Xenopus tropicalis: one gene and its partners. The protein of the gene in region 1 purifies or fractionates together with the protein of each later gene. This does not show direct contact. Links are inferred from orthologs where the notes say so. Each region holds a gene or a part of one and is shown in the gene's direction. Other genes may lie near its edges.

Region 1 (8,889 bases):
AGTATTCAGTAGTTACTCAAATGCAAAGATTCAAGCCAGTGCTTTACCCATCAGGGGGTCAATAGTGGAACAGTGGGTTTAGTCAGCTAGGAAGTGTCCAATCCCCAGTATCAAGTCCTACAGTTGAAACCTAGACAAGCTACAGTAGCCCCGAAGTCTGTACACTTGCTACTCTAATCCTATCTCTCAGTCCTGGAGGGAACTATTACAGAATTATCCTCTTTACATACTGGGTCTACCTCTGCCCAGGGTCTAACCTGCATCCACCGTCCTGGAATGTAGAATCCAAAGAAAGAAGGTGAACATATGTTGCCCTCCCCTTATAAAGAACAGAACAATGACATCTAGTGGCCAGTTACTGAACTGTAATCAGCTTAAAAAAGGAACTAAAATGTTCTGAAAGCTTGCTATAATTATCTTAGTTAGCCAATAAATGTATCACCTTTATACCACTTTTGTTATTTTTTATTTCAAAAGGGTTACCCTGTAAACATTTTTGACTGGCTAACACGATAACACCTTTTCCTGCATGAACTGCCAGGAAAATACTTCAAAGGAATACTGTCATGGGAAAACATGTTTTTTTTCAAAACACATCAGTTAATAGAGCTTCTCCAGCAGAATCCTGCATTTGTTTTTCAAAAGAGTAAACAGATTTGTTTACATTTAATTTTGAAATTTCACACAGAGCTAGCCATATTTTTCATTTTCCAAGGTGCCACAGCCATGTGACCTGTGCTCTGACAAACTTCAGTCACACTTTACTGCTGAGCTGCAAGTTGGAGTGATATCACACCCCTTCCAGCAGCCAATCAGCAGAACAATTGGAAGGCAGCACGATAGCAGCTCCCAGTAGATACCAGAATAGCACTCAATAGTAAGAAATCCAAGTCCGGTTACATGGGAGTAGGAGAAACAATAGGTTACCTGAAAGTAGTTCTAATGTGTAGCGCTGGCTCCTTCTGAAAGCTCAGACTCAGGCACAATGCACTGAGATGGTGCCTACACACCAATATTACAGCTAAAAAATTACATTTGTTGGTTTAGGAAGAAAATTTTAAATGGTAGAGTGAATTATTTGCTATGTAAACAGTGTAATTTAGAAATAAAAAGTATACAATAAAAATCATGACAGAATCCCTGTAACCCAGGATAAGGAACAGCCTTCCCTCCCAACTGTAAATTAGGACACACTTAGATGCCTAAATGGGAACTGCCTGAATAAAGGGTAACTAAACCTGCAGTCCCCTACACTCAAATTATGCAACAGTTGTGAGTACAACTTTTCATGGGTGTAACTTTGTATATGACAGACTACATGTGCCGACACTGGTAAGGCCTGTGGCACAAGGGGTGTTTTGTTGACCTTGTGGCACAAGGGGTGTTTTCTGCTAAATGCCATATGTAGACAAAAGGCCCTGTGTGCAAACAGACTGACTCTGCATAAGCCAGAGCATTGCTGCATGCATAACTGCTCTTTGTGTGCTGTATCAGAGTGTCACTGTTGGTCAGAAAGCAGCACAAGAAATGTAACTGTGCCAGTATAGCCTAAGATAATAGCACCGATATGGGACAGGGATCACTGTTCCAGCATTAAATAAGGTCAAGTTGTAATAGGAAAACCAACAAATTATAAATGTGAAATGCACCTGTAGGTGATGCTAATACACACACCATGCTAATGAATGTTCTCCAACTGTAACTTCTTTATCCAGTTCTGTTCTGTCTGAATATAATAGGAATAAATCTTAACTTCCATCAGCAGCCTCAAACCCTACCTAGTAGTCATAATAACAAGTGACAGGGGAATGATCTAAGGTGGAGAATATATTATAAATAGTGCATTTTGGGAGTTACAGTATTTTTATAAATTACTTAAGGGAAGTTCACAGGGAGTGCTTTAAGGTACAGGTATGGGATTTAATATCGAGAATGCTTGGAACCTGGAGTTCTCCATATAAGGGTTCTTTCTGTAATTTGAATCTTCATACTTTAAATCTACCAAAAAATAATTTGAACATTATATAAACTCAATAGGATTGTTTTGCCTCCAATAAGGATTAATTATATCTTAGTTGGGATCAATTAAAAGGTGCTGTTTTGTTATTAGAGAAAATGGAAATCGTTTTTTAAAAATTGTAATTATTTGCTTAAAATGGAGTCTATGGGACATAGCCTTACCGTAATTTGAAGCTTTCTGGATAACGAGTTTCTAATAACACATCCCATACCTGTACTTTGAGCACTGTGTTTTTAAGTAATGATACATTTCAAGACATATATCACCTGACAAGCCCAAACACAAGCACATCCCAACACATGTCTATAGGGGGGTCCATTGGGGAAGTTTGGTGCCATGTTTTGGGGCTACTTTGAAATGTAGAGTTCAAAGTGCTGAAAAGCTGCCCATATGCCATTACTCTTGGAAGCAGCCAGTAACCAAAGTTGTTTAACTACTTTATAACAAATGCGACTATCTATAATTCCCCAAAAGTGACAAGTTCATATGTCCATGGTCAGTACTCAGTGTACACTAAGGGGCACATTTACTAATCCACAAATCCGAATCATGAATGGGAAAAAATCGTATTGGAAACAAAAATTTCGTAAGATCGCAAATATCACGAAAATGCTTACAAAAAAATCGTATTAGTCACAATAATATTGTATTGGCGATCCGAAAGTCACGAAATTTTCGTAACGAACAATTGTAAACAGCGGTAAAACCTTTCCGATTTTTTCGTGGAAACGTCCGAAAAAGTCGTGCGCCGTACGAAAAAGTCATGCGGGCGCCCGAAAAAAATCGGCGAAAATACTCTCGGAGCGTTCATGCTTTTGTACATGTGCCCCAAAGAAATTGTTCTTTTTTTGAAACTGAAAAAGTGTCTTAGAGAATGCCCACACTTTCACAGGCCTATGCAGGATACACATTTTGTACCAGTACTGATGCATTATGGGTACAAACTTTTGTTTGCACTTAGCTCTTTACCTGCTGTTATTAAATGTGGTCCAAATGATTCACAATTTTAGAAATTGATAATTATATCCTTCATGAGGTGGAGATACTAGAAGTCTCTAAAAAAAGACACAAGTCCTGCTTGTGTGGCCAGGCAGACAGCAGCTATCACTCGCTCCCAAGTATGTGTGATTATACAAGATACTGCCCTGAAGAGTCCAACATGGCTGAAATTACCAGACTGTTTTAACAAACAAGCCGCAGGTCTCAAAAATAAAATGATGGGTGCAGTTTGATTTGTTGAACCACACACCAATCAATTGAGTACATATCCCTGACTGACATCTGCTCTGAAATCAGCCATGTCAATCGGGCAGGTTTGATTTTTCCAACGGATTTGGCCATAGATGGGCATAGGGGGACAAGAAGATCCGCTCGCTTGGTAACCTTGCTAAGTAAGTGGATCTTAAATACCAAATTGACTTGACTCAAACTTTTTCACCTCAGCAATCCCATGGGAACTCCATTTACACCGTGACAGGGTTTTAAGCCATTTAACAGGATTTAGCAGTGACTGAGACAATAGAACGTATCAATGCAAATAAAGTCATTTATTAATGTGTAACTGAGTGATTAAATGATAATGTTAGGAAGAAGGTGTCCCTGTCACCCTACATGGAACGCAAGGAACGTAAACGCCTAGCTCTCCCTTGCGTCACTACGCGCTCTCCCCTGCGTCACTACGCACTCCCCTCTGCTCGTCGGGCTCGCCCACGGCGCCGGGCGCTTTTCTCTTTCAGTGAGCGCGCACGCATCCCTACAGCGCCTCAGCTCAGCCCATGGTGGGGCGCGCACGCATCCCTACAGCGCCACAGATCAACCCATGGTGGGGCGTGCGCGCTCCCCTAGCCGAATAGTCGGAAAGCAGTTATGGCAGAGGAAGGAGGTGGAGGTAGCGAAACGGGACCGGCACAGGGTAGCACACGAACACCCTCCCCAGCGCCGACACCGGAACCGGGCACAAGTGCGGACACTGAGACCCAAAAGGCCGAGCTCGGGGACTTACTGAAATCAGCGCTAAAGAAAGGAGATGAGTGGTAAGGAGAGGCCGCTGTGTGTGTGTAGTGGGAAGCTGAGGTGGGAGAAGCCAGGCGGGACCGTAACTTATGGCAGAGATAGCGGCTGGCGAGTTGCCGGCCCGGGGTGCTGTGTCATTGGCTCCATGGCGGAAGCGTTTGCCTGAGTGAGAGAGAGAGCGCAGGCCTGAGCCGGCACCACGAGGGGACAGCCTCTCAGCGGGTTCAGTTTGCGCCAATAGCGAAGTCTGGAGCGGCCGCGGTCACGTGACTGCTTCCTTTAAAGTAAAAGCGATACTAACTTGTCAATTGTCTCAGAACGGAGAGCGGAAGTTCCCGGAAGTCACGGCAACAAGTCACAGTGGCGCTATCTCTATGGTTAATGGATATATGTGTGTATAGATTCCCCTCAGACATTGTGCCCCGGAAGCGCTCTGAGCCTGCAGCGCCCCCTGACTGTAGTTATTGTATGATGGCTTCTGGCAACTTCCCTTTGGAAATTCCCATTTGGGGACTTATTTTACATACAAATACAACACCCCCCTGGGGGGCTTTTAATCACAAGGTCCATAAGAGTAAAGAGGTCAAGTGGCTTTTTTTTTTCTTGTGCCCTAAAACCCGTCACAATCTCCCTCAGTAATACACTGTAGGGGGCCTAAAAGCATTTGCTCTTATTCTTTATCTGACTTATGCATTGTATTTGTGCAGCCCAACCTTTTCTTTTTTTTTTTTTTTGTCTTCGCCTAATATATGTGCTCACCTAGTGTGCCAAAAAAGCTCCCTTCAGTACCAGGCCTTTGTGCAATATTTATGGTTATTATGACAGGACACAATGACACAGTAGTCAGAACTGCTGCCTTTTGCAAGTAGGGGTCTGAGATTGGGCTGGGCGATATACCGTTTAATACCGAATACCGGTGGTTTTTTTTTTTAAAAAACTATATTCATTTTTCAGATCCTGCAATACCGGGGTGTCGGGGTACTCACCCGTGCGGCCCGGTCTCGCATGCGTCCCGTTGTCCGTGGGATGTTGCGCACGCGCGTCCAGGTGCGCGTGCGTCAAAGCACACGTACATGTCAAAGCGTGCACATCCGTGACGCGCTGACGGCGCCGGTTCTGCGCATGCGTGGGGGGTATTTAAAGCTATCAAACGCCTCCTCCTGTGCTATGTTGTCTGCGGCCTTGCCTGGGAAACTAAGCCTGCCTGATTTACCTTACGACTTTGTTGCCGATCCTTCGCTTGCCTGACTCTGATTTTCAATACTGCAGTAATTATTCTCTAATTTATTAGGAAATGGGGTTAACACCTAATCATGCATGGAAAAAAAAATACCGTCAAATACCGTGACACCGATATAATTTTGAAAAATACCGTGATATAAATTTTTGGTCATACCGCCCAGCTCTAGTCTGAGATCCCATCTGAGGGAATACGAGTAGGTTGATTGGTTTCTGTTGAACCAAACAAGTTTGTGTTAACAAATTTAGATCATAAGCCTTGCTGAAAACAAAGGGCTTTAAAGATTTGGGGACTGTTGGATATACTGTCTTCCCCAGACCTCCATTCCATGATTCAGCGATGTCCAGCTTGCAGTTAGCAGGCTAGAAGTTCCAAATTCTCAATGCGCACATATGATTGTAGTTCATAGATGTGTAAATGATGTCAATGTAAACCTTTGAGTAATATTTGCATATCTTTTATTTGTTAAGAACAGTTGTTCTCAAACTGCTGGGTTGACCTTTCAGGCCAAAGACTGATTGTCAGAGTCAATGGTGATTTTCTTGTTGTGGTCATCGAGCAACCATTTTTAAAGGCATTAGCTAAAGTTCCCAACTTTTTGCACATAGGCAGATAATGGTGGTAGAACTAAACCTGAAAAATTAATATGGCGAGAAATGCCATATTTTATATACTGAACTTACTGCACAAGCCTAGAGGTTCACCATATTTGTAGCAGCAATGATCTAGGACAGTGATCCCCAACCAGTGGCTCACGAGCAACATGCTGCTTACCAACCCCTTTGATGTGGCTCCCAGTGGCCTCAAAGTTAGTGCCCATTATTGAATTTCTGACTTGGAGGCAAGTTTTGGAAGCATAAAGACCATGTGTACTGCTAAAAAGAGGCTCTAGTAGTCTGCAAGTCCACTTTGGGCTACTAACCAATCTGAACCCATACAGGTCACCTACTAGGAAACTTTTTGTGCTTGTGTTGCTCATTGGTAAAACATAACGTTTCTGCCCTACTTCTTTCTTTAAAGGGTTTGTAGGGGCAAGGGCTGCATCAGTAACAGCGCTCCTAAGCTTTGTGTGTTGTGAAATGCACTTAAACGGAAGGTGGCCATACACTGGCAGATTTAAGTCACCAGTTCAGCGGATTATCTGCCTGTATATGGGGACCACTGATGAGCCTACCCACAAACAAACAGATCTTATAGTGTATGGATGTTTGGAACAGATGGTCAGGGAGTGCTTGAGTCTTACATAATATGTGGAGGTTTCCTGCCATTATAATATGTGGTATAATATAGGACCTAGTTAATTTTCACTGTAGGTGGCCTGCCTAATGTTTATACTATGCAATTAATGTTTTATCATTCATGTTAGCACTTTAAATTAGAATGTGTGATCACTTTCAGTACATGGAATGAATAGCCACCCTCCTGTGCAGCTTTGATGAGTTGAGACTGCCTGGTAATAGTCATCAGGCGAGAATCAAGGGCCTTTGTGCAGCTATACATTTAGTTACTAGTTATCTAGAAAATGTACCCCTAGGACAAAGTTTTGGAAGCCAAGTTAATATATTTTGTGTGTTATGCAAGCCTGGTCAAAATCATATTAAGGTGCTTTGTTTGTTTATGCTGGAATACACAATTGCTCCACATGATGGGAAAAGCCCCTGTTCCTAATCCTTTAGATGACATTGGAGCCTGCTTGGCAGGGAAAGGCTTACTTCTATGTTTGGGTGGTAGCAGAGTTTTGACGGTGACCTGCATGCCAGTGACTCAGCACAGAATATGACAGCCATGAATTAAATGGGGAACTATTAAAAGAGTACATATAGGTTCCACTGCCCGCAGTGGTGTATAATTACAGCTGAATGAAAATGTTTGGCCACCCCCTGGCAAATAACATTATAGTTAAATTTAACTGTAAAGTAGTAAACAACTACTACAGAAATCAGTGTGTTAAAAAAACAACATATTTGCAGGTGGTAATGCCCAATTATATTGGATTTCATGAACATTGAACTATAGTAACACCGAAAATAGTACTTGTGGAATGTGCTAATGTGTTATTCCACTCAGATCAGTACTCTGAGAAATGCCTTTACCCTTTGAGTACAGTAGAACCCCATTTTCTTGGGACCAGAAAAAAACTGTAAAATCAGGTGTATGCATTAAATATCGGGGCCAAAAAAGTGTAAAATGAAAGAAAACTTAAAATCAGTGTATATAAAATTGAGGTTATACTGTTTAGAAATGTGTAGTAAGTAGAGGGTACTACAATCTAGAAAGTGTAGTCAGAAGTACAAAAATTCTGTGTCAAAAACAATGGGCATATAATTTAACATTTATTACAGTAATTTTAAAAGCAAAGTAGCTTTTATCTACAGTATGTTACATACAGTAGGGTATTTTCTGGCATTTAGTAGCAATGGAAAAGTAGCTGCTACTAGGAGCTCCGTGTGTCTTCACCCTTACACTTTAAAAACGAATCTCAATAGTAACAATGTTAGAGGGCCATGAGAGTTCATCTTTTAATTCATTACTATCTTTCCATCTCATCACATTTGGAGCTTTTACCATATTTTAATTGCTGTTGAAAGCAGTGTTTGTGTGGCTGATTATATTCTCTGCACTAATGGTGTTGATTTCTGAAACTGTGTTGGAGAAGCAACTAATTAACTGACCGGGGGAGACTGCACTTCTGCTACATTGTTTAAAAAGCTTGAAATGGTGAACAGAAAATGATAAACAAATACTGCTTTCAAATACATTTTATAAACAAATTGAAAACCATTTAAAATGTGTGTGTTCCCTGAAATTGTGTTTTCTTTAAATAGGCAAAAAAAAAAAAAACAGCTAAACTACCAAAGGGTGTTCTGCAGTGTCGCGCATTGCTAGTTTTCCAGTTTGCAGTTTTGCATATTGAACTCTACTCATTTAGAGTTTAGGACACTTCGTAATTCTTAGTATTGGATGAGACTGGGTCTGAGCTTAAGATATTCAGTCCTGTTGATGGCATACACTTACTATGCATTAGCTGTGTTATCATAATAACTATTACATATTTATAAAGCACCAGCATATGCTACAGTAAAGTAATGTATACAAGGTTAAGAGGACTCTGTCCAAAAGAGCTTACAATATAAAGGGAGAAGTGTGTGCAAGTGAATAGTTTCAGTTGCTTAATAAGCATCTGTGCCTCTGGCCACTTGTTTTAGCCTGTGTTGCTTTGGTAAGATGCGCTGAAAGGGCAGTTTCACTGTTCTAGTGCTTACATGTGTGGAAGGGGCCAGCAGCCACTTCACATAACACTGCATACCTGAATCCTTTTTTCTTAGCAATACCGAAACTATCCATCCCCCACTCATCATTGGTGTGTATATATGAGAAAGCCCATGTTTTGCTTGCTTCTGTGAAACATTGTAAATATTATAGAATTCTTATAAAGAGAAAGCAGTGAAAAAATATGTGAAGTCATTTCTAGTTATCATTTCTCCATCCTTGGTCATGGAGATCTTCTAGTTGACTAAAACAACATATATATTAGAGATGCTTTGTTCATGGACCAATGCTGCTGCAAGTTAGTACTTACGTACTTATGTATGTTGGATGTTAATTACATTTTAAA
Region 2 (8,286 bases), on another chromosome or scaffold:
TCTATCATCTATCTATTTAATCTGTCTATCATCTATCTATTTAATCTGTCTATCTAGCTATCTGTCTATAATCTATCTGTCTGTCTATCTATCTATCTATCTATCTATCTATCTATCTATCATCTATCTCTCTATATCTAGCTCTCTCTTAGTAGGTCTTCCACTGGCATATTATTGAGTTCTGTCTATCATCTATCTATTTAATCTATCTATCTAGCTATCTGTCTATCATCTATCTATCTGTCTATCATCTATCTATCTGTCTCTATCTATCTGTCTATCTATCTATCATCTATCTCTCTATATCTAGCTCTCTCTTAGTAGGTCTTCCACTGGCATATTATTGAGTTCTGTCTATCATCTATCTGTCTGCCTATCTATCTATCTATCTATCTATCTATCATCTATCTATCATCTATCTATCTATCTATCTATCTATCTATCATCTATCTATTTAATCTGTATGTCTGTCCATCTATCTATCTATCTGTCTGTCTGTCTATCTGTCTGTCTATCTATCTATCATCTATCTATTTAATCTGTCTATCTATCTAGCTGTCTATCTAGCTGTCTATCTGTCTATCATCTATCTATCATCTATCTATTTAATCTGTCTATCTATCTGTCTATCATCTATCTATCTATCTGTCTATCATCTATCTATCTGTCTCTATCTATCTATCATCTATCTCTCTATATCTAGCTCTCTCTTAGTAGGTCTTCCACTGGCATATTATTGAGTTCTGTCTATCATCTATCTATCTGTCTGCCTATCTATCTATCTATCTATCATCTATCTATTTAATCTATCTATCTATCATCTATCTATCATCTATCTCTATCATCTATCTATTTAATCTGTCTGTCTGTCCATCTATCTATCTATCTGTCTATCTATCTATCTATCTATCTATCTATCTATCTATCTATCTATCTATCTATCTATCTATCATCTATCTATTTAATCTGTCTATCTATCTAGCTATCTGTCTATAATCTGCCTATCTGTCTATCTATCTGTCTATCTGTCTGTCTATCTGTCTGGCTATCTGTCTGTCTATCTGTCTGTCTATCTGTCTGTCTATCTGTCTGTCTATCTGTCTGTCTGTCTGTCTGTCTGTCTGTCTGTCTGTCTGTCTGTCTGTCTGTCTATCTGTCTGTCTATCTGTCTGTCTATCTGTCTATCTATCTATCTATCTATCATCTATCTCTCTATATCTAGCTCTCTCTTAGTATGTCTTCCACTGGCATATTATTGAGTTCTGTCTATCATCTATCTATCTGTCTGTCTGTCTATCTATCTCTATCATCTATCTATTTAATCTCTCTATCTATCTATCTATCATCTATCTCTGTCATCTATCTATAAAATCTATCTATCTATCAATCTATCATCCATCTATCTATCTATCTATCTATCTATCTATCTATCTATCTCTCTATATCTAGCTCTCTCTTAGTAGGTCTTCCACTGGCATATTATTGAGTTGACAATACAGTGACTTTTTGTATATGCTGGAACAGTGGCAGTGGCCAAATTACTAAAAAAATATGGTTGCCTGTTTAAAGGAAAACTAAGCCTACTACGAGTCAGGAAACTGTTGGTTTCAGAAAGCAAGTGCAAATGTTTCCGTACCCACTTGTGAGAGATGGAAGTGTCTGATTGTTGTGTTTCTTTGCACAGTGCAAGTCGTGCTCCGAGCCCAAGATGATCACCAGCTCATCGGCCATCTACACCAACCCCAACCTCATCAAGCCCATTGCTGTTAAACCCAGTGAGTCCCAGCCGGGAAAGGTGAGAGCGTTAGAGGTGAGAGCAGTAGGGGCTTAGGGTTGTGCTTTCCTAACTGTGACCCACCTAGAAGGGAGCAGTGGCCTACCCTAAAGGTCCCCATACACGGGCCGATAGTAGCTGCCGATATGGGTCCCTTAGACAGACTCGGCAGCTAATCGGCCCCTGTAGGGGCACTAACGACTGGCCTGCCCGACCAATTTCTGACCTGAAATCGGGCAGATATCGATCAGGCAGGTTAAAAAATCTAGTCGGATCGGGGACCGCATCGGCTCGTTGATGCAGCCCCCGGACCGACTTTGCCTATACCCGCCGTTATAATTTGATCGTTTGGCCCGGATTCTCCCGATACCGCCCACCCGTAGGTGGGGGATATCGGGAGAAGATCCGCTTGCTTGGCAACATCCCCAAGCGAGCAGATCTGAAGGGGTATGGGCACCTTAAGGCCAAGGAGTAATCTCTGTAAACTGCGTGAAAACAGAACCCCTACACCAAGGTTCCTATATAGAAACATGGCCTGACCCAGTACCCATTTATTGGGGCTTTATGAATACTTCATTAAAGCTTAGTAATAGTTTATCAAATGTGATGGTGTAATAATGGTCTGTAAGCCACAGCAACCAATCAGATGTTTGTAAACAACAGACTGATAAATATAACCTGTTGATTGGCTGTTTTGGTTTACTTGAACTGTAGCAACTTTTGCACCAGTTATTACTTTCCATTACATGTATGAGGGCAGAAAACCTACCATCAGCCAGGTTGTTAGGCACCCCCTAGTGGTCACGCCCAGAGCGACCATGATTGGTGAGCAGTACTGTATGCTCCAGCTTGGCAATTGGGTAGCCAGAGCACCGAAAACGAGTGAAACTTACAGTCACCATAGTGTTAAACTGTGACTATGTTTTTTTTTTTATCCTTCCTTAGGCTGTGGAGTCAGAAAAGCAGCATTTATCTCTTACAGCTCTGTTCGGGAAGCCAGACAAAGCACAAGAGCAGATGAAGCTTCATTCCGAACCCGGCGCTGTGCGCCACTCGGTGGTCCGTTCCCTCTCGTATGAAGAACCTGGGAAGGCGACGGAGAATGTCGAGAAGCAGCTTTGCCCTGCCATCCAGAAACTCATGGTGGCGGGAAGTGGGCTGCAACCCGTCTCCGAGGTTCCTGAGAACAGGCCGTGCCATAATGGCAGCTATCCCCCCGATGGGGACATCCTCCCTGGCCTGTTCATCCCGGTGACGCACCAGGCTCCCTTTTCCAATCAGGACTATGAGAGCGGGAAAACTCTCTTGCAAACCCTTCACACAGCCCCAGTGGGGGGACCCAACGCCGACATGGTGTCCTCGTGCGCTGCACACTCACTTAATTACCACGACTGCTCTCTGCCGAACCAAAGGACTTCAGCCCCAATGCCTCCATTGCCTTTGTCTTCTCAACCTGTCATGGCCTCTGGCACCATCTCCCCACAGGAGCTGCTCAAGAAGCTAAATCTGGTGCGCCAGGAGCAGCAAATGCAAAGCAATCCCAGGCCGGCCCTAGCGGCTAAATTCCCGGTGGTCTCCCAGAGCGTGCCGAAAACATCCTGGGTGGAAAATATTCCTCGGGCTGAGAAACAGAATCTGCTCCTTCAGGTATCCGAGTAACAAGAGTATTAAAACAAAGTGGTAATATATAGGTATGGGACCAGAATGCTGGGGTTTTCCGGTTAAGGGATCTTTCCGTATTTTGGATTTCCATACCTTACGCCTGCTAAGAATCATTTAATATTGAATAAACCTAATAGGATTGTTCTGCCCCCAATAAGGGGTAATTATGTCTTAGTTGGGATCAAGTACAGGTACTGTTTTATTATTACAGAGAAAAGGGAATCATTTAACCATGAAATAAACCCAATAGGGCTGTTCTGCCCCCAATAAGGGGTAATTATATCTTAGTTGGGATCAAGTACAGGTACTGTTTTATTATTACAGAGAAAAGGGAATCATTTAACCATTAAATAAACCCAATAGGGCTGTTCTGCCCCCAATAAGGGGTAATTATATCTTAGTTGGGATCAAGTACAGGTACTGTTTTATTATTACAGAGAAAAGGGAATCATTTAACCATGAAATAAACCCAATAGGGCTGTTCTGCCCCCAATAAGGGGTAATTATATCTTAGTTGGGATCAAGTACAGGTACTGTTTTATTATTACAGAGAAAAGGGAATCATTTAACCATGAAATAAACCCAATAGGGCTGTTCTGCCCCCAATAAGGGGTAATTATATCTTAGTTGGGATCAAGTACAGGTACTGTTTTATTATTACAGAGAAAATGTAAATAATTTTCAGAAATTAGAATTATTTGCTTATAATGAAGTCTATGGGAGACGGCCTTTCTGTAATTTTAGAACTTTCTGGATAACGGGTTTCCGGATAAGGGATCCCATACCTGTATCTAGATATATACATGCATGCAACTGAATTTAATGTCATATTGTTACATGCATTTTCGTTTTCTGACAAGACTCTTGGCACATATTCTCAGCTGGCAGGGAAGTGCCCATATGTGGTTCTGCAGTCTGTCATTTTGTCATTTATGTAAATGTGATCTACCATTCTAAATGGCATCATGGAAACCCACGCTTTGCACCATGGGAAACTCATAGGATAGGAATCCCTGGAACAAGGGAAGCAATATAGCAGCTTCCCTCCAAATATGTATATATATATATATATATATATATATATATATATATATATATATATATATATATATATACAGAGAAGAAATGTTCTCTATACTATAAACTATATTATATTGTTCTAAAAAACAATATTGCAGCTATTTCCCATATGTATAAATGCAAGGATACAGAGAAGGAATGTTCTGGGCACACAATAAGCTGTACCCCCATACTGTACTGTCTAAGGGAAACACTATGGCACCTCCTACCCATATGTATAAATACAAATATACAGAGAAGGAATGTTCTGGGCACACAATAAGCTGTACCCCCATACTGTACTGTCTAAGGGAAACACTATGGCACCCCCTACCCATATGTATAAATACAAATATACAGAGAAGGAATGTTCTGGGCACACAATAAGCTGTACCCCCATACTGTACTGTCTAAGGGAAACACTATGGCACCCCCTACCCATATGTATAAATACAAATATACAGAGAAGGAATGTTCTGGGCACACAATAAGCTGTACCCCCATACTGTACTGTCTAAGGGAAACACTATGGCACCCCCTACCCATATGTATAAATACAAATATACAGAGAAGGAATGTTCTGGGCACACAATAAGCTGTACCCCCATACTGTACTGTCTAAGGGAAACACTATGGCACCCCCTACCCATATGTATAAATACAAATATACAGAGAAGGAATGTTCTGGGCACACAATAAGCTGTACCCCCATACTGTACTGTCTAAGGGAAACACTATGGCACCCCCTACCCATATGTATAAATACAAATATACAGAGAAGGAATGTTCTGGGCACACAATAAGCTGTACCCCCATACTGTACTGTCTAAGGGAAACACTATGGCACCTCCTACCCATATGTATAAATACAAATATACAGAGAAGGAATGTTCTGGGCACACAATAAGCTGTACCCCCATACTGTACTGTCTAAGGCAGGGATCCCCAACCTTTCTTACTCGTGAGCCACAGTCAAATGTAAAAAGACTTGGGGAGCAACACAAGCACCATAAAAGTTCATGGAGGAGCCAAATAAGGGCTGTGATTGGCTATTAGGGGCCTCTATGCACCCTATCAGCTTACAGGGGGCTTTATTTGGTAGGAAATCTTGTTTTTATTCAACCAAAACTTGCCCCCAAGTCAGGAATTCAAAAATAACTCCCTGGTTTGGGGGCACTGAGAGCAACATCCAAGGGGTTGGGGAGCAACATGTTGCCCCTGAGACACTGGTTGGGGATCACTGGTCTAAGGGAAACATTATGGCACCTCCCTCCCATATGTATAAATACAAATATACAGAGAAGGAATGTTCTGGGCACACAATAAGCTGTACCCCCATACTGTACTGTCTAAGGGAAACACTATGGCAGCAACCCACCTCTTGGTAATGTGTCTGCCAGCAATAAGCCTGTAATATGCTGCCCTTTCTATCCACAGCAAGCCTCCTCTCCTCAGCATATCCCAGCCTCTGTGTCACCAGCACTGCTGATGTCCCCCATGGTATTTGCCCAGCCAAGCCTGCAGACCAGGACAAATGAAACAGCCAACCTCTCCCTTTGTACCAAAGAGCCCTCCAATCTGCTCTTCCCCGCTGCATTCCCAGAGAACCCCACGAACACCATGAATAGCTGGAACGGCGTCCTCACTAGGAGTCAGCTCCAGGAGACCCTGCTGCACCTTATCCAGGTGAGATCTGAGCATAGGGCTACAGAGAAAGTGTGTGTGTATATATATATATATATTTATATATATATATATATATATATATATATATATACAATCCAGAGTGGGAGCACACCATTAAGTATAATAAAAACCTAGGTGCCAGAGCTGAAAAAAATCTACAAACCAATTCAAAGTGTCGGCACTCATAGGATTTCCGCAACAAAAGCACAGCAAATAAAGTTTCTTATTAATGCAGGTGATGTGGTTTATTAATCCGACGTTTCAGTCCTTTACTTGGACTTTCATCTCCCTGATGAAAGTCCAAGTAAAGGACTGAAACGTCGGATTAATAAACCACATCACCTGCATTAATAAGAAACTTTATTTGCTGTGCTTTTGTTGCGGAAATCCTATGAGTGCCGACACTTTGAATTGGTTTATATATATATATATTTATATATATATATGTATGTATGTATGTATATGTATATATAATGTAAAAGTAAAAAAAAAAAAACCCCACAGTTCTCTCATATATATAATGCAATTTCTGGTGAGGAATAAATCAGGACACCCCAGCATTTAGTCCCGCCTAAAATGGCTCAAATCACACACAGGTGTATCACATCAGGTGCACATGATTAGAACTGCCTGAGGCCCTTAGGCTGATGCCACACCAGGCGTAGGGCTGATTTTTTCGGCAAGCGGAAAAACGCTTGCCGAAAAATCAGCCCTACGCCTGCTACTTGTGCCTGCACCCGAATGAATGGAATACGCTCGGGTGCAGGCACATGTAGCCGATATACGCACGAAAACGCGCGAGAATGCAAAGTCTCGCGTTTTCTTGCGTATATCGGCTACATGTGCCTGCACCCGAGCGTATTCCATTCATTCGGGTGCAGGCACAAGTAGCAGGCGTAGGGCTGAATTTTCGGCAAGCGTTTTTCCGCTTGCCGAAAAAATCAGCCCTACGCCTGGTGTGGCATGAGCCTTACAAAGAAGATTGTAGCAGCTTATAAGTCTGGTAAGGGATTTCAAAAGATCTCAAAAGAATTTGAAATCTTCCATTCCACTGTCTGGAAAATATAGACCCAAGAGGAGCACTCAAAACAAAATTAACCGCCTGGGTGCTGATAAAATTTAGTAAATAGAAAGAATCGGTACCACCGCACTCGCAATCAAAAAAGGTTTATATAATGGTTAAATGATTCCCTTTTCTCTGTAATAATAAAACAGTACCTGTACTTGATCCCAACTAAGATATAATTACCCCTTATTGGGGGCAGAACAGCCCTATTGGGTTTATTTCATGGTTAAATGATTCCCTTTTCTCTGTAATAATAAAACAGTACCTGTACTTGATCCCAACTAAGATATAATTACCCCTTATTGGGGGCAGAACAGCCCTATTGGGTTTATTTAATGGTTAAATGATTCCCTTTTCTCTGTAATAATAAAACAGTACCTGTACTTGATCCCAACTAAGATATAATTACCCCTTATTGGGGGCAGAACAGCCCTATTGGGTTTATTTCATGGTTAAATGATTCCCTTTTCTCTGTAATAATAAAACAGTACCTGTACTTGATCCCAACTAAGATATAATTACCCCTTATTGGGGCAGAACAGCCCTATTGGGGTTATTTAATGGTTAAATGATTCCCTTTTCTCTGTAATAATAAAACAGTACCTGTACTTGATCCCAACTAAGATATAATTACCCCTTATTGGGGGCAGAACAGCCCTATTGGGTTTATTTAATGGTTAAATGATTCCCTTTTCTCTGTAATAATAAAACAGTACCTGTACTTGATCCCAACTAAGATATAATTACCCCTTATTGGGGGCAGAACAGCCCTATTGGGTTTATTTCATGGTTAAATGATTCCCTTTTCTCTGTAATAATAAAACAGTAAACTACTTTCTGGGTCCTGGGTGTATATGTATATATATATATATAGCAGCATATTTATAGGCCCATGTGGGCTGAACCCTCTTCTCTCCTTAATCCCACATACCAAAACATGAACAATTAATTGTATAATTCCCCCCCCCCCTTGCACTTGACTCAGGTGTCCACTAAACCCTTCTTATTTTTCAGAACGACGACAGTTTCCTGAATACAA
Region 3 (8,286 bases), on another chromosome or scaffold:
GTACCAGAGAAACCTGACCCCAAAAAACCACTGCACATAGACTTAAGGGAGGACCTTTACCACCAAACAAAGCAGAAAAAAGTATTTGTTTCTGGGTTAGTAGAACGTAGTGCCTTCAATTTGCACGAAGATAAGGAAGTGACAGAAGAAGGCAATCAGCTTTTCGATGATTTAGAGGTAAAATGTATTCAGTCTGTTGTTAACTTTATTATGCAGCTGAGCTGTATATTTCTAAGGACAGATTCACTGCAAATCTAGCATATGTATTTATAGTCATATGGTATGATTTATTGTTATAGTCCAATGATTTTTTATATTGGTACAGCATAGCTTATAGTCTGTACACAATGTTCTTTCCCTTTGTATTTTTTCTTTTGTAGTGTATGGGCAAGGGTTAAAGCAATACTGTCATGGAAAAACATTTTTTTTTTTCAAAAATCATTTAATAGAGCTTCTCCAGCAGAATCCTGCATTAAAACATGTTTTTCAAAAACGAAAAAAAAAAAAGATTTTTTCTTATATTTAAATTTGAAATTTCACATGGGGCTAGCCATATTCTTAATTTCCCAGGGTGCCACAGCCATGTGACCTGTGCTCTGATAAACTTCAGTCAGACTTTACTGCTGAACTGCAAGTTGAAGTGTTGTCCCCCCCTCCCTTTCGCCCCACAGAAACCGATCAGCAGAACAAGGGGAAGGTAGCAAGACAGCAGGCCTAGTGTTTGCTACTACTTGCACATGGTTTACCAGAAATTACTTTTTGCTTTAGTAAATCATGTACACATTGCGGCATTAGGGGGTCATTTACCATGACCTCAAATGCAAGCGTGATTTCACACCCATTAGTGCTCATTCAAGAAGCACTTGGGTCCTTGGTCATGCTGCACTCTATACCTCACACTGCATTACAGCGTGAGGTGTAGTTACGTAAGGCACTGTAGGACCCAGACTTCAGCTGTTTGGGGTACACAAGTCTACACTTATCCTAATGCTAAACTGTGACTTTGAGACTGAAAGAAGCAGACTTTTATTACTATTACCCTTGAAGCTTTTTTAAAGGGGCATATAAAATGAAATGCTTTACTGATAAACTTGGGATATATGCCCTATAAAGGTTTGTATGCTGGGTACTAAACAACCTTAGAGAAGGTTGAAACGTCTTTTAATGTTAAGAGGTATTTGCATTTGTATTAATTAGCTCAGCTAAAAAATGGTAGGAGTCTGATTTTTATGTGCTAATATATAATTAAGGACTCTTTTGCCTCTCTTTCCTCAGATTGAAACTGTCCATGAGCCAAAAAGAAACGCAAGATCAGTGCACAGAGGTGTCCAGCCGACATCTGTCCTTCAGCCAAACTTGCACATGGTTCAGGCTTGCCCGGAATCTCAACAAGGTGCAATAATTCCCTTGACTGTAATGAATTTCACATTGTTCACATGTTTAATTGTTAACATCAGTCTGTGTCCTAATTGAGCTTACAGTCATGTCTAATAAGATCTGCCTATGTGGGACATACCACACAAGTACTTTTCATCAGTCTTGTTTGTCAGTTGTGTATGCACAGTCAGCTTCAAGGCACTCCTGGGGCAATCTGTGAAGTACGCTAAGGACCATGGTCCACAGGAAGATTAGTCACCTGCGGTTACATTTTGGCTACTGTGGCGACTAATCTCCTGAAAATGCCTTCCCACTGGTAATTTGCCAATGGGAAGGCATATGCATTGTTTTGTTTTCCAAAGTTTTCTCTTGCACCTGCACTGACATAATGGTTCTGGGTGCAGACAAAGAAGAAAGCTAATGTCAGTGTGTGGCATCAGTCAAAATTAAATGTTATTGGTGCCAAAGGAGAAAGGCTGCACTACAATTTAAACCAATGTAGTTTGTTGGGCCAGTCACTGCCCCCTTTCTATTCATTTTACATCTAAAAAAACACAATCATATTTTGTCTGATAAATAATACTTTCTCTTCCAGAGTTCTGTGGGGCACTGGGACCATGGGATATAGCATGCACCACTAGGAGGCAGGACACTAGAGAAGGAGAAGAAGAAGACTCCTGCCCTGAGCTATACCCCTCTACCTTAGCCTAACTTAGTTTTTTTTTTCTGTGGCCTGTACTTTCTTTGCACCATGGGTTGTTCCAGAGCTCTTTACAGGTGACATTCTTTAATAGGGGCTTCCCCCTTCATTGATCAGACTCCACAGAAGCGCACTACTTAACTGTCCTACCATCCTATGTCTATGGATGGAACAGGAGCTATCTATCCAGCACTAGCTAGATTCTTCTAAAGGAACATGAGGACAACCCAGCCTTCATAACTGATGAGTATAGCATCATAGCCCATCCAACCTAGGCACTTCCATACAAGGCTCCCATCTAGGAGCATCAGAGCAGAGCATCCACCCCCCTTGGCATCTGTGCTCAGCCCCTCCCAGCAGTGCTCTCCCCGCCTGGCCCCCATTACTTCCACTGGAAGCGGTAATTTTCCAAGGGCAATCACGTCATCTGAGATAGTCTTCGGTCAACAACGCTCTCTCCTCTTGGCGCAAATTCTCATGACGTCACTTCACAGTCAAGCTCTTGTAACACATTCCACTCTGCATCATATATATGGACAGGTTTTTTGCTTATGGGTAAAGCCACTTGGACGAGGGGCTTTACACGGACCACACACGCTCAGTCTAAAGTAAAATTGTTGGCATGCACCAAATGCTGCAAAAGGCTGCCCACTGGGTGTAAAGAGCCTCTATGTGTTCCCTGCTCTAAGCTTTCTGTTGAGTCTTCCTTCCAGTCCCAGGATATGTCTGTTATACCACAAATTGATCCAGAGGCAGGAGTTATTCAACTCACACTAGAGTGCTCTGCCCAACCTTACACTTCCACCAAGCACCCACCAGCTTGGGCCTTAAATTTATTTACAGGCATCCCCAAATTAGCAGCCTGTCTAGATAAATTGCTAGACAAACATGACCAGGGGGGATCAGAAACCAGGGCCAAAACTTCTAATCACCCACCTCTCCTCTAATCACAAGAGGACAGCATCAGAGCCTCCCCCTGGACAACCAATCCTTTAGTGAAGGGAAATCTCTTCTGACCTTGCAGAGGAAAGTGAGGACTTCCCAAAATTCTTCACTGAAAATCTTGATGCCCTAATCTCCAGGTATTCAAATGCCTAGACCTAAAGACAGCTGATGCTCCCCCTGACCTTGCTCAGTCTCTTTTTAAACACCACAAAAAATGTCCCTCCATTTTCCCCATCTCATGCTCAGCTTAATAGCATAATCCTGTATCCTGCCTTTCCAAGAATACAGCTCTCTCTGTACCAGACACTTCCTCCTTCAAGGAACCCATGGATAAGAAACTGGAAGGGTTTCTTAGATCAGCCATTGCCTCAGGTGGCAAATCCCTGCGACCCATTTCTGCCTCTGCATCAGTAAGTAGGGCAATCCAGTCCTGGTCCACTTCCCTTATAGACGGGAAAACCTCCGGCCTACCTTGGGAAGAAATTCTCTTCTTGGCTACTCAGCTCAAGGAGACTAACGATTACATGGATGAAGTGTCCTTGGACACTGCACAGGTTGTAAGCCACACATCTGCCTTATCTGTTGCAGAAAGACGATCCTTACGGCTTAAATGACAACTGGCCATAGCATTGCATCCCTGACTATCCTCAGCTGGAATGTGAATGGGTCCAAATCTCACCTCATTCCGAATCGCCAGATTCCCTTTCTAGGCATGTTGTTAGACACGGATGCTCAGCGGGTCTTCCTTACTAAAAAAATTGAAAGAGTTGAAGTTGCTGGTGCAACAACTGCAAGCACGACAACCATCCCACCATGGTATTGGTGACCACATAGCTCGTTGATGCAGCCCTCAGTCCAACGGGCCATATACCTGCCATTTTAATTCTGTAATTTGGCCCTAGGGCCAAACTATTGAATTAGCCCAATATCGCTGATATTGTTTGGCCTCGCCAAACGAGTGGATCGCACCATGTATGGCCACCTTTACTTGCATTATAGCTATGGTATATCAGCAACAACATGTGTGTCTTGTGCAGTAAATCTTATTTGATAAGTAGGGGCAGATATATTAAAATGTGAGTTTAGAGATTAATACATAAAAATTAACCCACGTTCTATTCATTCCTATGGGATTTTAAGAATAATATTTATCAATTGGTGAATTCTAACTTCCACCCATTTATAAATACATTTCTAAAAATCCCATAGGAATAAATAGAACATTGGTGAGTTTTTATGTATTGAATTTACATTTTGATAAATCTGCCCCATAGTGTTCTTTCTTTGGGGCAAAACAAAAAAGGCAATGATTGTTTGTGAATTACCATTTCTCTAAAATATCAAACATTCTGAAATGAGTAAAAACCTAACAATAATAATCATATGTCAATTTTTGTGCTAAATAACAAGTTCAGAGGGAACAAAGAATGAATTAAGTTAAGATTTAAATTAGTTATGTGCTGTAGCATTTGAAACTAATTTACTTTATTAAGAAATAGGGACAATGATCTATCTCTATTTTAGGGAAGCCACCAATAGATAACATGCAGTGGAGCATTGATCCAGGGGCTGACTTGTCGCAGTATGAAATGGACATGACAATGGAAGATTCTAAGGTAGAAAAATGAAGTTTTATTTTTAATATGTGTATGCCCAGAACTACATTTCGGAATGATATTCACTTTTTACTTTTATAAAGGGTGGGAGCCCTGCAAAGCCAGAGCTAGAGGACATGGATTACACATATGTTAGTGAAAGTTTCCTGTTAAAAATGAAGAAGGGGGATCCAGGTGACAGTGGTAAGTGTGACCAGTTACTTCATGTTATTATTATTCTTTTATTTGTATATATATGGCATATTCTGTAGCAGTTTATAGTGATTATACGTCGTTCACATGAGTCCCTGCCCCAATGAAGCTTACAATTTAAGGACGTTATCACGCTAATAATAAATATATATCATGCACAATTACTCATTCAGAGTATTTGATTACTGCAAAAAATGAAATATTGATTTTAAACTTTAGCATACCACACCTCTTCCCTCTGTCTGCATACCCCTTCGCAGGTGCTCTGTCCTAAGGGAAGGTATTAAACAATATAAAGAAATATGATAGTGTGATAACAATCGGCATTAGTACAGAAAATTGCTGTACTACTCCACCATTGTGCACATTGCTCTTTTTCCTCCATGGCTCTCGTTTTATTAATTGTATACCATGTGGTTTATTTATATATTTCCAAAAGTCCTTCCTAGTGAAATAATAATCAGTTTCCATACAACAGAAGATGAAAGCAAAGGTCAAGACAGCTTTGAAAAAATGTTTGACAAGAGTGAGTATGGAGAGTATGTGTTGTGCATTAAAGACAGGAGCCCTTCCCAAAGTTGCAAAGAAAGGAATGATCTGTCTTCCATGGAAAATAACAAAATTACCAAAGAAAAAGGTCAGTTACTTGTCCAATTGCAAAGGAACAAAATTACATCTGAAAACCCAGAAAGAATTACAGTGAAAGCTGAATGCACAGACCAGGCCAAAATGTATATTACAAAGCAAAACTAACGTGAAGTTCATTACTGCAAACATAAGTATGAATAATTTAGAATTACATTGTGCTACAGTCATACAAAAAAATTAATCAGCTCCCCCCCTTCCCGTGCAAATAAGCTCTTAAATAAGGGAGAATTTGCACAGCACAAATATTTGCCTCCGTGGGTTAACCATTGGGTACTGTAATTAGATGGGAAAGCAGCAGTGTTATAAGGCTCTCTGCAAACCTTTTTTTCTTGTAGAAAGATATCCTTAGAACTTACTGCATGAACTGCATACGTTTGTAACATCTTGCTATGCTTCTGGGAGTCTTAGGTCTTAGTTATTTATGAAGCAAACACCCAACATAATTGTATAGTAAAGACAGGGAGGGCGAATGAGCTTATAGGCAGGGGTGAGGTATGCTGAGGTTGAGGGAAAACAGGTGCTAAGTTATGTAAAGGGTAAATGGAACACCTTTGCATGACTGAGCATTGGTAGTCTGATATGTGCAAGTAGGGCATGTATTTGACAGGAGGATATCTGCAAAAGCTTCACATTATTTTTCAGAGGCTTGGGTGAAACTACATCAGGTAATCTCCTCTCCACATAGAAGCTCAATACTAGTGGGATAACCTAATCACAGGTTTGCTTCTGGTAGTGGTACCCATAGCAATAATTCAGATTTTTACTTTTCAAACAGCACCTGCTGGTTGGCAGCCAGGGATTACTAGGCCTAAATGTAACATTTGCACTTGTTAATATATTACCACCACCACCCATCCCCACCCCCTGAAATCTAGTGTGGATGCTTTCAGGTCCTCCTGCTGCTTAACCACTTATGTAGCCAACCACGTTTAAGTTTTTTTTAATGTCCTTTCCATAACAGGAACAGGGCTTAATTACCTGTAGACAAATTCTCTTTTTTTTAATTCAGAGTCTATATAAACTAACAGCTGGAGCATGTCAAAGACAGGTTTACATAACCCAGTTCCCAGAGGTGTCTTAGTGCTCCATGATGCCTATGTTTCTTATTTAAAGGAGGGAGAAATATAGCTCTAACACACCTCTGTAGTTTTTTGTTAAAATTATTTTTTTTTCACCCAATAAATGTTTTAATGCATGAACTTCTGTTGTGTGGTATTGTATTTGTGATAGTTGACACATATAACTGATGACTCCCCTATCTTAATATTTCATATATATGGTTAGTCTATAGAACAGGGATCCCCAACCTTTTATACCCGTGAGCCACATTCAAATGGAAAAAGTGTTGGGGAGCAACACAAGCATGAAAAAGGTTCCTGGGGGTGCCAAGAAGAGCTATAAATTGGCTACTTAATAGCCCCTATGTGGACTGGCAGCCTAGAAAAGGCTCTGTTTGGCATTATACTGGGTTTTTATGCAGCCAAAACTTTCCCTTCTTACCAGGAATTCAAAAATGGACACCTGATTTGAGGCCATGGAGAGCAACACCCAAAGGGTTGGGGAGCAACATGTTGCTCACGAGCCACTAGTTGGGGATCACTGCTATAGAACATAGAATCATTCTCCTCTTTTCTAAGTATGTAAAAATGTAAAACATAGTCTGAAAAACCTTTAGATATATACACACTCGGGTGAGAGGTTCTCATGCTATATATATTGGTGTCCTTAGCTACTCTGCATTGAAGCTGTATAATTGCAAGGACTCTCTATGTACTGAGCTATCTGAGGTCTTGTAGATAGTGTACATTTTATTGTAGTTAATTGGCAAGGGGATTCTTGGGTTTTTCTTTATTTTTTTCTCCACTACTGGAAAACACATTATATAGTGAATAATGTATCCCCTATAGTAAAATATAAGTTGTGGTTGCGATTCGAAAGTCCCGAAATTTTTGTATCCGAACTATCATAAACAGTGCGAAAACCTTTCTGGCTTTGAAACTTCAATGCATGATTTTGGAAGCTTTCCATAGGACTCAATGGCACTCTACAGCTCCAACCTGGCCAAAAGAAAGTCACAATACCAACGCTTGAATGAATTCCGGAATGGTCGTAGTCTTTGCAAAAAATACAACTTTTTAGTGGACTTTAATGAAAACCACAAAAAAGTTGTACTATTTTAACTATATTATCATGGTCAATACGAAAAGTTCTAGCAATTAGAAAAAATACGAATTTTTCTCATACGTACTAAATCGTACTTTAATGAATGAATGGGCCCCTAAGTATTGATTAGAACTGATAACATCACTAAGCACAGTCTATAAGGTAAGGTTTGATAGAGTAAAGGAGATTTATGTACTTACGGTTAAATCCTTTTCTCTCCAGTCATAAGGGGGACACAGGGACCGTGGGGTAAAGGCCCCTCCCATCAAGAGGCAGGACACTGGAAACCGAGATGTGGACCCTCCTCCTCCTCTCCCCTTTATCCCCTGTCACACCAGAAGGGGTTCAGTTTGTAACAAAGATTTAACTCATAACAGAATATAACTAACTCTCAACAAGACTGAAGATATTAGAACAAGAGTTCAGGGAGGGAAGCCCTGTGTCCCCCTTACGACTGGAGAGAAAAGGATTTAACCGTAAGTATATAAATCTCCTTTTCTCCCACGTCTAGGGGGACACAGGGACCGTGGGTACGTACCAAAGCCACCCCACAGTAGGGAGGGAAGAACTCTGACCATTTAGGAAACTACTGCCTGAAGCACCTTCCTTCCGAAGGCTGCCTCCGCTGACAGGTAAGTGTTGAAT

What was found. Proteins that work in one complex are often made in the same cells at the same time.
Region 2: the proteins of usp4 (region 1) and dcp1b purify together in Homo sapiens (co-immunoprecipitation; 3 studies listed by BioGRID and IntAct, with this or other methods). This does not show direct contact. The link is inferred for Xenopus tropicalis from reciprocal best matches to the Homo sapiens genes USP4 and DCP1B.
Region 3: the proteins of usp4 (region 1) and rbbp8 purify together in Homo sapiens (affinity purification with western blotting; 3 studies listed by BioGRID, with this or other methods). This does not show direct contact. The link is inferred for Xenopus tropicalis from reciprocal best matches to the Homo sapiens genes USP4 and RBBP8.

The regions. Positions count from the first base shown.
Region 1 is NC_030680.2:125,798,603-125,807,491, forward strand, and holds the start of usp4 (ubiquitin carboxyl-terminal hydrolase 4), read left to right. Parts: upstream 1-3,734; 5' UTR 3,735-3,886; coding exon 3,887-4,053; intron 4,054-8,889.
Region 2 is NC_030679.2:9,163,817-9,172,102, forward strand, and holds part of dcp1b (mRNA-decapping enzyme 1B), read left to right. Parts: intron 1-1,684; coding exon 1,685-1,810; intron 1,811-2,719; coding exon 2,720-3,421; intron 3,422-5,932; coding exon 5,933-6,181; intron 6,182-8,261; coding exon 8,262-8,286. UniProt on the Homo sapiens protein: May play a role in the degradation of mRNAs, both in normal mRNA turnover and in nonsense-mediated mRNA decay. May remove the 7-methyl guanine cap structure from mRNA molecules, yielding a 5'-phosphorylated mRNA fragment and 7m-GDP.
Region 3 is NC_030682.2:108,920,068-108,928,353, forward strand, and holds part of rbbp8 (DNA endonuclease RBBP8), read left to right. Parts: coding exon 1-177; intron 178-1,275; coding exon 1,276-1,393; intron 1,394-4,546; coding exon 4,547-4,638; intron 4,639-4,721; coding exon 4,722-4,821; intron 4,822-5,269; coding exon 5,270-5,467; intron 5,468-8,286. UniProt on the Homo sapiens protein: Endonuclease that cooperates with the MRE11-RAD50-NBN (MRN) complex in DNA-end resection, the first step of double-strand break (DSB) repair through the homologous recombination (HR) pathway.